Sus scrofa: one gene and its partners. The protein of the gene in region 1 purifies or fractionates together with the protein of each later gene. This does not show direct contact. Links are inferred from orthologs where the notes say so. Each region holds a gene or a part of one and is shown in the gene's direction. Other genes may lie near its edges. The genes, in order: MARCH6, SQLE and PLIN2.

Evidence for each region.
Region 2: the proteins of MARCH6 (region 1) and SQLE purify together in Homo sapiens (affinity purification with western blotting; 4 studies listed by BioGRID and IntAct, with this or other methods). This does not show direct contact. The link is inferred for Sus scrofa from reciprocal best matches to the Homo sapiens genes MARCHF6 and SQLE.
Region 3: the proteins of MARCH6 (region 1) and PLIN2 purify together in Homo sapiens (affinity purification with western blotting; 3 studies listed by BioGRID). This does not show direct contact. The link is inferred for Sus scrofa from reciprocal best matches to the Homo sapiens genes MARCHF6 and PLIN2.

Annotation. Positions count from the first base shown.
Region 1 is NC_010458.4:72,124,978-72,129,237, reverse strand, and holds the start of MARCH6 (E3 ubiquitin-protein ligase MARCH6), read left to right. Parts: upstream 1-1,368; 5' UTR 1,369-1,605; coding exon 1,606-1,624; intron 1,625-4,260. UniProt on the Homo sapiens protein: Endoplasmic reticulum membrane-associated E3 ubiquitin ligase that plays a critical role in mitigating endoplasmic reticulum stress, the regulation of cholesterol and lipid homeostasis, and ferroptosis.
Region 2 is NC_010446.5:14,679,128-14,682,732, reverse strand, and holds part of SQLE (squalene monooxygenase), read left to right. Parts: intron 1-716; coding exon 717-830; intron 831-914; coding exon 915-1,086; intron 1,087-3,605. UniProt on the Homo sapiens protein: Catalyzes the stereospecific oxidation of squalene to (S)-2,3-epoxysqualene, and is considered to be a rate-limiting enzyme in steroid biosynthesis.
Region 3 is NC_010443.5:203,682,453-203,686,805, forward strand, and holds the start of PLIN2 (perilipin-2), read left to right. Parts: upstream 1-1,553; 5' UTR 1,554-1,643; exon of another isoform or gene 1,644-1,647; intron 1,648-3,193; 5' UTR 3,194-3,215; coding exon 3,216-3,245; intron 3,246-3,331; coding exon 3,332-3,527; intron 3,528-4,353. UniProt on the Homo sapiens protein: Structural component of lipid droplets, which is required for the formation and maintenance of lipid storage droplets.

The DNA of each region.
Region 1 (4,260 bases):
TCAGTGACATTAGTCTTCAAGGGCTGCTCTCTTTCTGAAGGATTCTACTTCATTATTTTCATTCTCAGTTTCATTCTGATTGAGGAAGTTCAGAGGTGGGAGATTTTCCCAATTCCTTTCCTCACACGGATAGAAAAGAGATGGCTAGCATTCTTGCATCTATTTCTGCAATTTATCTGCATATTGTTTAAAATATATTTTCTTGGGATTAGAGACATCTTTAGTTCTACTTAGGTAATTCTAAGGTGGTGGCCTTTCTCATCAGTAATTTCTAAATAGTTCTAAATAATTTCTAAATAATTCTAAATAATTCTAAATAATTTCTAAATAATTCTTTGGTGAGGAAAAGTGGTGTACTGAAAGAACGTGCTCAGTCTTTCATAAGGCTGAAGCAATTTAGCCCTGGCCAGGTTAAGTGTCCATAACCCAGTATACCAAGTTCTGTCCCTATCTGAACAGATTTCCCCTAGAGAAGGGTGTTTGTTTCAACCTCCAACCTAAGCAGTTTATTGTAGTTCTTCCAGTCAAATGCAGAACTATGGTAATGATAGGGCCTGACTTTTTCATTTTACTTCCTTTTTGTCTTTTGTCTTTTTAGGGCTGCAGCCGTGGCATACGGAGATTCCCAGACTAGGGGTCCAATGGAAACTCTAGCTGCCGGCCTACGCCACAGCCAAAGGAAATCAGAGCCTCGACTGCAACCTACACCACAGCTCAAGGCAAAGCCAGATCTTAACCCACTCAGCCAGGCCAGGGATCGAATCCCCAACGTCATGGTTACTAGTTGGGTTCATTAACCACTGAGTGACGTCGGGAACTCTGACTTTTTAATTTTATTGGCATTCTAGTACTTCCTCAAAACATGCATCAGAACTGCCCGCGTGCAGAACAAAAATGCATATTCCTGGGCCAGCTCCAGACACGCGGCACCGGAATCTCCGGGCGCGATAGCGCAGAACTCGTATTTCACAAGTCCCAGGTAACAGTTCTTCAGCCCTGGGACCCGTCTTTGTCCTGCACCGCCGCCCGGCCTGCGCTGGGCTAGCCGCCTCGCTGTCAGGCGCTGGCTCACGCTGCTCACTTCCATCGTGTTGTGTCTTCTTTGTTGCTTCCCTCAGTGTTATTAGAGTTCAACTCCTACTAAGGTTTCAGCCTCGCTGCCCCGCGCAACCCTCAGGACAAGGTCCAGGAGGCCCAATGCCCACGACGGCGGCCACCAGCTGCTCGGGCCGGGCCGGGATGGCCCCCCACGGGTACCGCGCACTGAGCGTGCGCGCCTCCGCCGCGGCCGGAAATGACGGCACCTGTCGTTGGGGGCGCTCCGCCCCTTCCGCCTCCATGCCCCGCCCAGGCCTCGCCCCTCTGCTCTCCCCGACCCTCCCCCTCCCCTCTGTCGCCCGCTTTCTGTCAGCCTCTCTCCCTCTCCCTCTTCCCCTCTCTCCTTCCTCTAGCTTCCTCTCTCGCACCTGAGCACAAACACCTGCCCGGGCCCGGCTCCGCTCCCTCCTCCCTCCTCCCCCTCCCTTTTTCCCCGCCCCGGCCGGAAGGCTCCGGCCTCGGCCACAGGAGCTTCGCGGCTGCGTCACCGCCGCCCCCTCAGACAAGATGGACACCGCCGAGGAAGGTAAGTCGGCGGCGCCCGCGCCCTTTCTCCCGCGCCCGGGTTCGGGCTGGGCCCGCGCCCAGTCTGCGGCGCTCCAGGCGGGCCGCGGGGCCCGGGCGGCGCTGGGGGCACCTCGGCTCGGGGCGGAGGCGCGCGGTGACAGCGGGGGACCGGCGCCCGGGCCGTTTGCCCGCCGAGCAGCCCGGCGCGAGGGGCGGCGGGGACAGAAGGTGACCCCTCGGCGCCCCCCGCCGTTTCCCGCCCGCGCGCGTGGAGGGCAGGGCCCCTGCCCGGGCCGGGGGGCGTCGGGGCTGCGGTGGCCGCGGCCGGTGAGACTCCCCACCCCTCCGTCCCGCCAGCCCCGGGGGACGACGCTGTCGTCGCCGCTCAGAGTCTGGGGGCGTTTTCCACACCCTTCCCCCACTCGGTTTTGTCTTTCTTTATATCGTTTTGCCCGTAGCTCTGCGGGCCCGACCCTTTCACGGCAGAACTTCTTTGTTGACTCAAACTTAGCGAAAAATACCCCGCCAGGTGACGGCTGAGTGGAATCAACTGACCCCTATTTAAAAACCTTATCCTCTGCTTGCGAGTCCCGAATTATTTGTTTACTAAACGGGGACGAGGCAGGCCCAACGGGGTTATTCGCAGAAGGGGTGCTCTGTAGAATTCCTTTGTTTCAGTGTGATTTATTTTGTGCTTAATCCCTGACACCAATAAGCCGAGTTTTGTGCGTGTGTTGCTTGGTTGAGTGTGTGTGTGTTTTGGATGTGGCTGTTTTGGATCAAGCTGACTCTTGTAAACTGAATACATACGTGGATACATAACTGAACAGTTGTGACTATTGAAATGCATTTGCTTATCCGCTGACGGTAATTAGGTTGTTTTTTAAGCAGTTTTATCTTTTTAGAGTCTATCGAATAATTTTACTGAGTCCATAGAGGAAATTACTCTCCTGATGCTTGATGTGTAGGATGTCAGTGAAGATAAGATACCTTTCTGCTTCGGGTATATTATGTAGCTGTCTGATAAGCACCTTTCAACCGTATGGATTTTGGTGATTTTAAATGAGGATCTTTGAGGACTGTTGTGGCGTGCAATAATGAGTGACAGGAAGTTTGATACTGTATGTGTAATGAGTGGAGACAATTTATTATTTTTTAAAGAAGTCTTAGTAAGAACTTCAAACTGTAGCCGCATGTTATACTTGAGTTTACAAAGCATATTTACATGCCTTCACATTTGATCTTAGTAAGAGCCCCGTGGAGTAGCGCGGGGGGTATTATAGATGCGGAAGTTCAGGCTGGCTGGCTTCTTTCTTTCTTCAACAGTGACAAGCCAGATCCTTAACCGCTGAGCTTCCTGGGAACTCCCAAGCTTAGTTATTTAAATAACTTGTCTAAGCTTCACATGCTAGTTAAGAGACAGATATGAACCTAGGCCTTCTCATTACAAATAGTTTTCATTATGTCTTAGTTTTTTTATTATATACAGTGAGTGAAGTAATAACCACCGGCGACTCCTTTGGAAAAAAACAGTCAAGTGACACTGCTGAGGAGGTTATTAGGAATTATCTTCTTTTGATAGATGATTCTTGTGTGTAAATTTCCGTCTCCATAGATTTCACATACTTCTGGATTCAGATTTTAATGACTCAATTTAGTAAGGCTTGTGTTTATTTACCACTTGATAATGTACTGGCATGTTTTCCTCCCATTCTTTAAGCCTGTGCACTTAGTGTTTGCATACTAAATGTGTGGTGTGATAGTGGTAATTCAGGAATTGTAGAATCTGAAAGTTTATGTGGAATCATGATGAAAGAAATATATTTTTTTTGTCTTTGACCACAGCATATGGAAGTTCACAGGCCAGGGGTCAAAGTGGTGCAACAGTAGCAACCTAAGCTGCTGCAGTGACAACACAGGGTCCTTAACCCGCTGAGCCACAGGGAACTCCTGAAAGAAATATTTTCTATGTGCTTCTAGTGCACTGTTTTTTTCCTTGTAAAGTTATAATAAGGGTGAGGTATAAATGATATTTACTGTCTTGAATGCTGTTCTTGAAATAACTAAAATTTACTGAGGACTTAATATAGGGCATGTACTTCACTAAATACTTCATAGACATCTCATTTAATTCTCGTAACACTTTTAGGTACACAGCATTCCCTTTTTTACAGATGGAAGAAAGTAAGGGTTAGTATGATTAAGTAACTTGCCCAAAGTCATGCAGGTAACATGTCAAAGGTGAGATTCAGACTCAGTTCTGTCAGACTCCGTGGTTAAATTAGATATTTGTAAGTGGATACCCAGTATCCGATGTTGAGATAATTATGTTTTTGTTGCTTCCTTTGTAAGAAGAATCATATATGTAATTTTTTTGTTTTGTTTTGTCTTTTTAGGGCCGCATCCACAGCATGTGGAGGTTCCCAGGCTAAGGGTCAAATCAGAGTTGTAGCTGCCGGCCTACACCACAGCCGCAACAATGCAGGATGCGACCTACACCACAGCCCATGGCAACACCGGATCCTTAACCCACATAGGGAGGCCAGGGATCAAACCTGTGTCCTCATGGATACTAGTCAGATTTGTTTCCACTGAGTCACCATGGGAACTCCCTCATATATATAATTCGACAAAGCTTTTTTTTGTGTGTTTTAT
Region 2 (3,605 bases), on another chromosome or scaffold:
AATTAGGAGAAAATAAATTACTGTTTAAATAAGAAAGGCAAAAGCAAGAGAATCTCTGGAGAAGTAGCAGAATAAAATAGTTTCCAGCGTTGGCTCTTGTTGGTTTAGTAGGAGAAGAGAAAAATCAAGGGCTTATCTGCTGATTCTCCCTGGCTGCTGCCCCACAGGGTTACCACCTCCTAGAAATTGTACTCTGATGGAGGCGATTGCAAGGTAATATCAGTAATTCCTCCACATGTTCTAAGCCCTAGCCACTGACTGAACGCACTGTTTGAGGTTAGAAAATTCTCAAATAAAAGAATGTGGTTGGTCTTTGGAGTTTGTAATGAGATTCAGTCTTCTGTGAGCTGTGTCCGTCAAAGTGGCTTAATCCCAGATGGCTTGGATGGTAGGGTCTTGAGGGGGGATGATCCTTCAATAGCATTATCTTCAAATCCTCTCTGTAATGTCCGATGATTATGTATTTAACTTTGTTTACGTACCTTTTAAAAAATGGTCGAATCCCAGATGGTTTGGATGGTAGAGTCTTGAGGGAGGGTGATCCCCTAATGGTCTTGCATTAACTTGAGCTCACATAACAGCTCCTTCAATAGCATTATCTTCACATCTCTCTGTAATGTCCAATTATATATTTAACTTTACGTACATTTTAAAAAATGGTCTTTTCACTGTGTATTTTTAACCATTTAGTTGACTATCCTTTATTTTTGTTGTAGGAACTCCATGCTCCATTGACTATTGTCGCAGATGGACTTTTTTCCAAATTCAGGAAAAACCTGATCTCCAATAAAGTTTCTGTTTCCTCTCATTTTGTTGGCTTTCTTATGGAGGTACTGTAGGAGTGCAATTGTAGAAAATTAAAAGCAATCTGAAATTTGGAAATTATTAAAATTTTTTTTTATTTGTTTTTCTAGAATGCACCACAGTTTAAAGCAAATCATGCTGAACTTGTTTTAGCTAATCCGAGTCCAGTTCTCATCTACCAGATTTCACCTAGTGAAACTCGAGTACTTGTTGACATCCGAGGAGAAATGCCAAGGAATTTAAGAGAATACATGATTGAAAACATTTACCCACAACTACCTGGTAAGAAATAGGATTTCACTCCCATTGTAGTCTGTCGCCTACAAGTAAGTTGGGTCATCTCCAGTTCCCACTAAAGCTTTGTCACAATTAGGCCGAAGATAAGGATGGCAGGTGAAAAATGCATCCAGTCAGATACACTGGAGCTGAATGAACTATTTAAACTAGCACATGAAAAAATCTCCAAGTTAAAAAAAATAGTTTCAATGTATTTTTTCATAGTAATAATTAAAGCATAGTTTTCCAAATAATTATTAATATTGGCATATAGTATTTTTTAAGGTAGTCTTGATAGTGATCTAAGGTCTCTGATTTCTTGAAATATCTCTTAAACTTCATTACTTTCCGTGTTTGGATTTTGTAGAAATGATAGATAGCTACCTTTTATTGAAGGCCTACTGTATAAGAGGTTCTTTACAAACATAATTTAATTTCATCTACACAACCACCCTATGAGGTAGGCATTATCATTATCCTAGTTTTACAAATGAGGGAACTAAGATTCAGAGAGGTTACTCAGCTTCTCCAAAGATAAACTGTAAGTAGCCGTGGCAAGGTTGAAAGCAGGTCTTTCTGTCTCCTGTATCCCTGCTGGCAGAACGTGATGGCCATGGGGGGGGTCCTCAAGATCGGTTTAGTTTGGAGTTGAATACAGAAAGGCTTTGTGAGGGTTGGTTTTTTTTTTTTTTTTTTTTTTTTTTTTTCAGAGCCATACCTGAGGCATATGGAAGTTCCTGGGCTAGAGGTTGAATCGGAGCTGCAGTTGCTGGCCTGTACTGCAGCCACAGCAACACAGGATCTGATCTGCATCTGTGACCTACACCATAGCTCATACTAGTTGGGTTCGTAACCTGCTGAGCCACCATAGGAACTCTTAAGGCTTTGTGAGATTTTAGACATCTTTGTAAAATACTCATAAAAATTAGGATTTTTTTTTTTTGAGAATGGGAGGATGTAAGAAAGAAATGTAAAAAAAATAAGAATGTTGATAAAATTGAAGTGAAACCCTGTTTGCCAATTGTATTATTATAGTAATAGATTATTCTTGGTATGAGTCCATTTTATTTAAATACTTTTTTTGACTATGCCTGCAGCATGTGGAAGTTCCTGGGCCTGGGATTGAACCCAAGTAACAGCAGTGACCCAAGCCCCAACACTAGATCCTTAACCTGTTGCACCATAAGGGGACTCCTTAATATTCTTTTTAAAAAATTATTATTTTTTGTCTTTTTAGGGTCATACCTGTGGCATATGGAAGTTCCCGGGCTAGGGGTCAAATTGGAGGTGCAACTGCCGGCCTACACCACAGCCATAGCAATTCCAGATCCGAGCTGCATCTGCGGCAACGTGGGATCCTTAAACCCCTGAGTGAGGCCAGGGATCAAACCTGTGTCCTCATGGATGCTAGTTGCGTTCGTTAACACTGAGCTGCAACGGGAACACCTAAAATTATTCTTTAAACTAAGGGAAAGCACTGTGTTTAATTATTGACAGTATTATCAGAAATGAAAGAATACATGGACCATTTTCAACTTTTAATAATGACATTTTCAGCATTTCAATATATTTTCACTCAGTTAAGCCATTTTCTGAAGCAAGTTGGAACGATTGAGTTACACATTTTAGAAAAGGGATAGTTAATAATGTGATTTTTTAGCTTTTTTTTTCTTTTATAGTAGACTGTTTTTTTCCAAACCAGAGCTTAGTTGGAGCAGACCACCCTGTAGTCAGGGAGAGAAACTATTTGTAGGTTTATGTGCATATTAGTCAGGTTATAGAAATTCTCATTGTGAGAAGGGAATGGTTTCAACACAGGCAGTTCTGCTCCTGTGTTCAGATTACAATACAAATTCAATGAAAAGGAAGTCCATTTTCTTTCTTGCTTTTTTTTTTGTTGTTGTTGTCTTTTTGCCTTTTCTAGGGCAGCACCCGAGGCATATGGAAGTTCCCAGGCTAGGGGTCGAATCAGAGCTGTAGCCGCCGGCCTACACCAGAGCCACAAGCAACCTGGGATCTGAGCCGCATCTGCAACCTACACCACAGCTCACGGCAACGCTGGATCCTTAACCCACTGAGCTAGGCCAGGGATCCAGGGATCGAACCCACAACCTCATGGTTCCTAGTCGGATTCGTTAACCACTGAGTCACAACGGGAACTCCCAGAAGTCCATTTTCTATACAGGTAGAAGCACAAGACTTTAAAACTAGGAAGTATCTCAGAGATGAGCTAATCCAACTGTTTCCTTTCTAGACAGAGAGACTGAAATTCAGAAAGTGGTTCTCTCTACATCTTACCCTTTTTCTGCTGTACATACACTCCTGCTGTATGTGAATTGGTTTATCCCACCTGTTACAGAATATGGTGGTGACCAGAGGTTGGGTGTTAAATACACGAGTGTCAGGTGTTAATCAGTTAACATTTGGAAGAGAAGTGGGTGGTTTTTCTGTCTCTGGGTTTGCCTCACTTTTCCTCTTTTTTTTTTTTTGGTGTTTCCAGCTCCGTGTGTATCTAGTCTTATCTT
Region 3 (4,353 bases), on another chromosome or scaffold:
TGGCAAGGTCCACACAAACCCTCTTCTGCTTGGGGTGGTTGCGTAACTTGTTTGCTCATACAAGTTTGTTCAAGTCCTTGCCTTTTACACAAGAAAAAACTGGGGCTCATAGGATGATGACTTTGTTTCTTATTTTTGGCCATGCCAGTGGCATGTGAAAGATCCCTGGCCAGGTATGAAACCCACACCGCAGCTGTGACCAAGCCACAGCAGGAGGACTACAGGGGACCCGTAACTTCCTGAGCCACCAGAGAAATTTTTTTTTTTTTTTTTTTTTTTTTTTTTGGACACGTATGGAGTTCCCTGGCCAGGGATCAGATCCAAGCCGCAGCTGCGGCAACATCCTTCCCACCCCGTCCTTAACACACTGTATCAGGCTAGGAATCCAACCAATGTCTCAGCGCTGGCAAGTCGCTGCAGAGCCTGTTGGGCCCACAGCAGGAACTCCCACTAGGGAACTTTTTTTTTTTTTGGCCTTTTGCCATTTCTAGGGCCACTTCTGCGGCATATGGAGGTTCCCAGGCTAGGGGTCGAATTGGAGCTGTAGCCGCCGGGCCTAAGCCAGAGCCACAGCAACACGGTCTGAGCAGCGTCTGCGACCTACACCACAGCTCACCGCAACGCGGGATCCTTAACCCACTGAGCAAAGCCAGATCGAACCCGCAAACTCCTGATGATTTGTTTATTTAAAAAGAAAACGCATAACCCACAACTTTTTAAAAAAGAGGTCATCCTGCATAGTAAACATAGGCAGCAATCACCCCAGGGTGATTTTAGTCTTGATGAGGAAACAAAAGAGACTGAGGGTAGTCTCACAACTTTTGGAAATTCCGATTCAACTTTAAATTAGGCAGATGTTTGAGGAACTGATTTTATTTATTTATTTATTTATTTTTTGTCTTTTTTTTTGTTGTTGTTGTTGTTGCTATTTCTTGGGCCGCTCCCGCGGCATATGGAGGTTCCCAGGCTAGGGGTTGAATCGGAGCTGTAGCCACCGGCCTACGCCAGAGCCACAGCAACGCGGGATCCGAGCCGTGTCTGCGACCTACACCACAGCTCACGGCAACGCCGGATCGTTAACCCACTGAGCAAGGGGCAGGGACCGAACCCGCAACCTCATGGTTCCTAGTCGGATTCGTTAACCACTGCACCACGACGGGAACTCCAGGAACTGATTTTAAAGTCTAAAGAGCAGCAAAACCGCAATCTCTACAGATCCTTCCTGGGTTGGAATTTCACAAAACTGTAGGACTTATTTCCTTGCTATAAGTAACAGTCTAGACGCCACCGTTACCATTTTTAAAGACAGTTCTACTCCGAGGACTGATAGAAATCAACAGTTTAGTTACAGGCTGTCCCCAACACTCCTCCACCGCCTTTTGCAAAGCAACTACGCCTGCGTAGGCGCTGGCGCATTTTTGCCGGGCGCTGGGCCCCTCAGCTCTCCTGACTTAGGCAGGGCCCCCGCCAACGCAGGACAGACCCCGCCCCCGCCAAAGGCGCGCAGCTGCCTCTAAGGTCTCGGATTTCAAGAGGCCTCGGGTCACGTGGTGCGGGGCGGGTTATAAAGCCAGGCGCTGTAGGGCCCAGCTCTGTTGACTGCCGCGCTGATTTCCCGGGCTCTCGACTCTAATTTGCTGCTGGTCGGTGGGTGTGCGCCTCTTTCTGTGGTTTCTCCTGGCTGCTCGGCGCCGGCGGGCTTCAGGCTGGTCTCTCGCGGCCTCACGGCGGTTTCCGGCCCCGGCTGGGAAGGGGCGGTCTCCTGGGCTTGCGCTTTCCACCCTCGCTTTTGATGGTTGAGGCTTCTTTTCTGGCCGCTGCTATAGTGCGGTTGTAGCTTCTTGGCTTGGTTGCGGGTTAACAGTTTCCATTTGTTCCGAAAGGACATTATTAAAAGGAAACGCGGGAGAAAATCGTCTTAAGCCAGAATTTTCTGGGGGTACGCAGTGACATGCCGGCCTATTGATACTGGCCTTCAGCGTGGTTCTTGTTTCATGTAAAACACACTCTTGGCGGCAGTGTGAACTTACTGGCCTGGAAGTGATGGACAGAGGGTGTTCGGGTTCCTTCCTTCCCAGTTCTGCTGCTCAGCTGTAGGGCTGTTTGGTGTGGCTGTGGGTCGTTGGGGACAATAAGTTGACATTTAAAAGCGTCCTGAAAATTTTTTCTGTTCTTCGGAGCACTCCGTTTCTCCTGTGCTTAATGTCCTTTGAACTAGTTTCAGCCCTTTGACAAAGAATAAATTCCCCTCAAAGTGCTTCTTCTTGATCGTCTTGACTATCCAAGACGTCTTCTACTTGAAAGGCAGCTTTAGTTTTAACATGGATTTTTTTTTTTTTTTTTGGGGTCTTTTTCTAGGGCCGCACCCGCGGCACAGGGAGGTTCCCAGGCTAGGGGTCTAATTGGAGCTACAGCCGCCAGCCTGCGCCCGAGCTACAGCAACTCCGGATCCGAGCAGTGTCTGCAACCTACACCACAGCTCATGGCAAGGCCGGATCCTAACCCACTGAGCGAGGCTAGGGATTGAACCCGCAACCTCATCGTTCCTAGTCGGATTCGTTAACCACTGAGCCACGATGGGAACTCCTTAACATGGATTTTTACTTGGTTAGCATTTTTGCCCACAGATAGTTCTCTTCCAAAGGCATCTCAAATGTCCTGGTGGGGAAAATATTGAATTGTACACTTTAAGTGGGTGAATTATACACGTGAGCTCCGAAGCATCTGGGAATGTATTTACCCAGGGGAGAGTTCTGAGAGTCAGAGGGTGGGAAGAAGTGCCAGCTACCCTTAACTTCATCTCTGTTCTCCTTCCTTTGCTTGAAACTAGCTTTTGCTTTGGTTGGGGGTGGAATTTGGGAGAGTCTTTTTTTTTTTTTTGTCTTTTTTGTTGTTGTTGTTGTTGCTATTTCTTGGGCCGCTCCCGCGGGCATATGGAGGTTCCCAGGCTAGGGGTTGAATCAGAGCTGTAGCCACCGGCCTACGCTAGAGCCACAGCAACGCGGGATCCGAGCCGCGTCTGCAACCTACACCACAGCTCACGGCAACGCCGGATCGTTAACCCACTGAGCAAGGGCAGGGACCGAACCCGCAACCTCATGGTTCCTAGTCGGATTCGTTAACCACTGCGCCACGACGGGAACTTCGGGGAGAGTCTTATTACAATGTCCTGAAATAAATTTCTCTTCCACAGATTTCTTACTCCAGGAAGAAACATGGCATCCGTTGCTGTTGAATCACAACCGGTAGGATTTTTAAATAGCTGTTTCTTGATTCCGTTACCTCCCCCGTGTGTTTTGGAAGTTAACACCTCTCTCCCCCTTGGTTGCAGAGTGTGGTGACAAGGGTGGCCAACCTACCCTTGGTGAGCTCCACGTATGACCTTGTCTCCTCGGCTTATATCAGTACAAAGGATCAGTATCCCTACTTGAAGTCTCTGTGTGAGATGGCAGAGAAGGGCGTCAAGACCATCACCTCCGTGGCCATGTCCGGTGCTCTCCCTATCATCCAGAAGCTAGAGCCTCAGAGTAAGTTCCCATTTCCCCTCACAATTTAGTCCCAGGTATTCAGGAGTGAGCCTGAAGCTGGCCTGAATATTATAAATGTCTGTGTTGGGCCCTAAGCACACAATAGCTATGCTAGGGAATCCTCAGCCTTTTCTGAAGTACATGTGTCCTTTACTGGAAAAACTGCCAGATGAACCCTCAGTGTTATGGAAGCTTCCACAATGTTATGGAACCCTCATTGCCGCTTCATAGCAATGGCAGATGCTATGATACTAAAAAAAAAAAAAAAAAAATCCCCCAGAGATGCTTCTACATTGGGAACTGAGATAACAAGGGAACCCAGAGAAAGAGCTAACTTTCTTGGGACTACACAGTATACATGAACTGTTTAAAATAAATAAATAACAACATATAATTCACCCACTTAAAGTATATAATTCAGTGGTTATTAATACATGCAGAGTTATGTGGACATTACTATGATCAATTTGAGAACATTTTCATAACCCTAGAGAGAAACCTCATGAATTTCTGTTTGGTTTGATGAAAAAGTCCTAGAAATGATGGTGGTAATTGTTCCCCAATATTGTGAATGAATTTAATGCTAGTGAATTGTACACTTAAAAATAGTTAATAGGGGAGTTTTCTGGTTGGTGCAGTGTGTTAAGGATCCAGCTTTGCTACTGCTGAGGCTCAGGTCACTGCTGTGGCATGGTTTCCCTGGCCCAGGGAACTTCTCTATGCTGTGGGGCACAGCCAAAGAGAAAAAAAAAATAGTTAAAATGGTGAAGTTTTTAAATGTATATTTTACTACAATTTTTTTTAAAAAGAAAGAAACCATATGCTC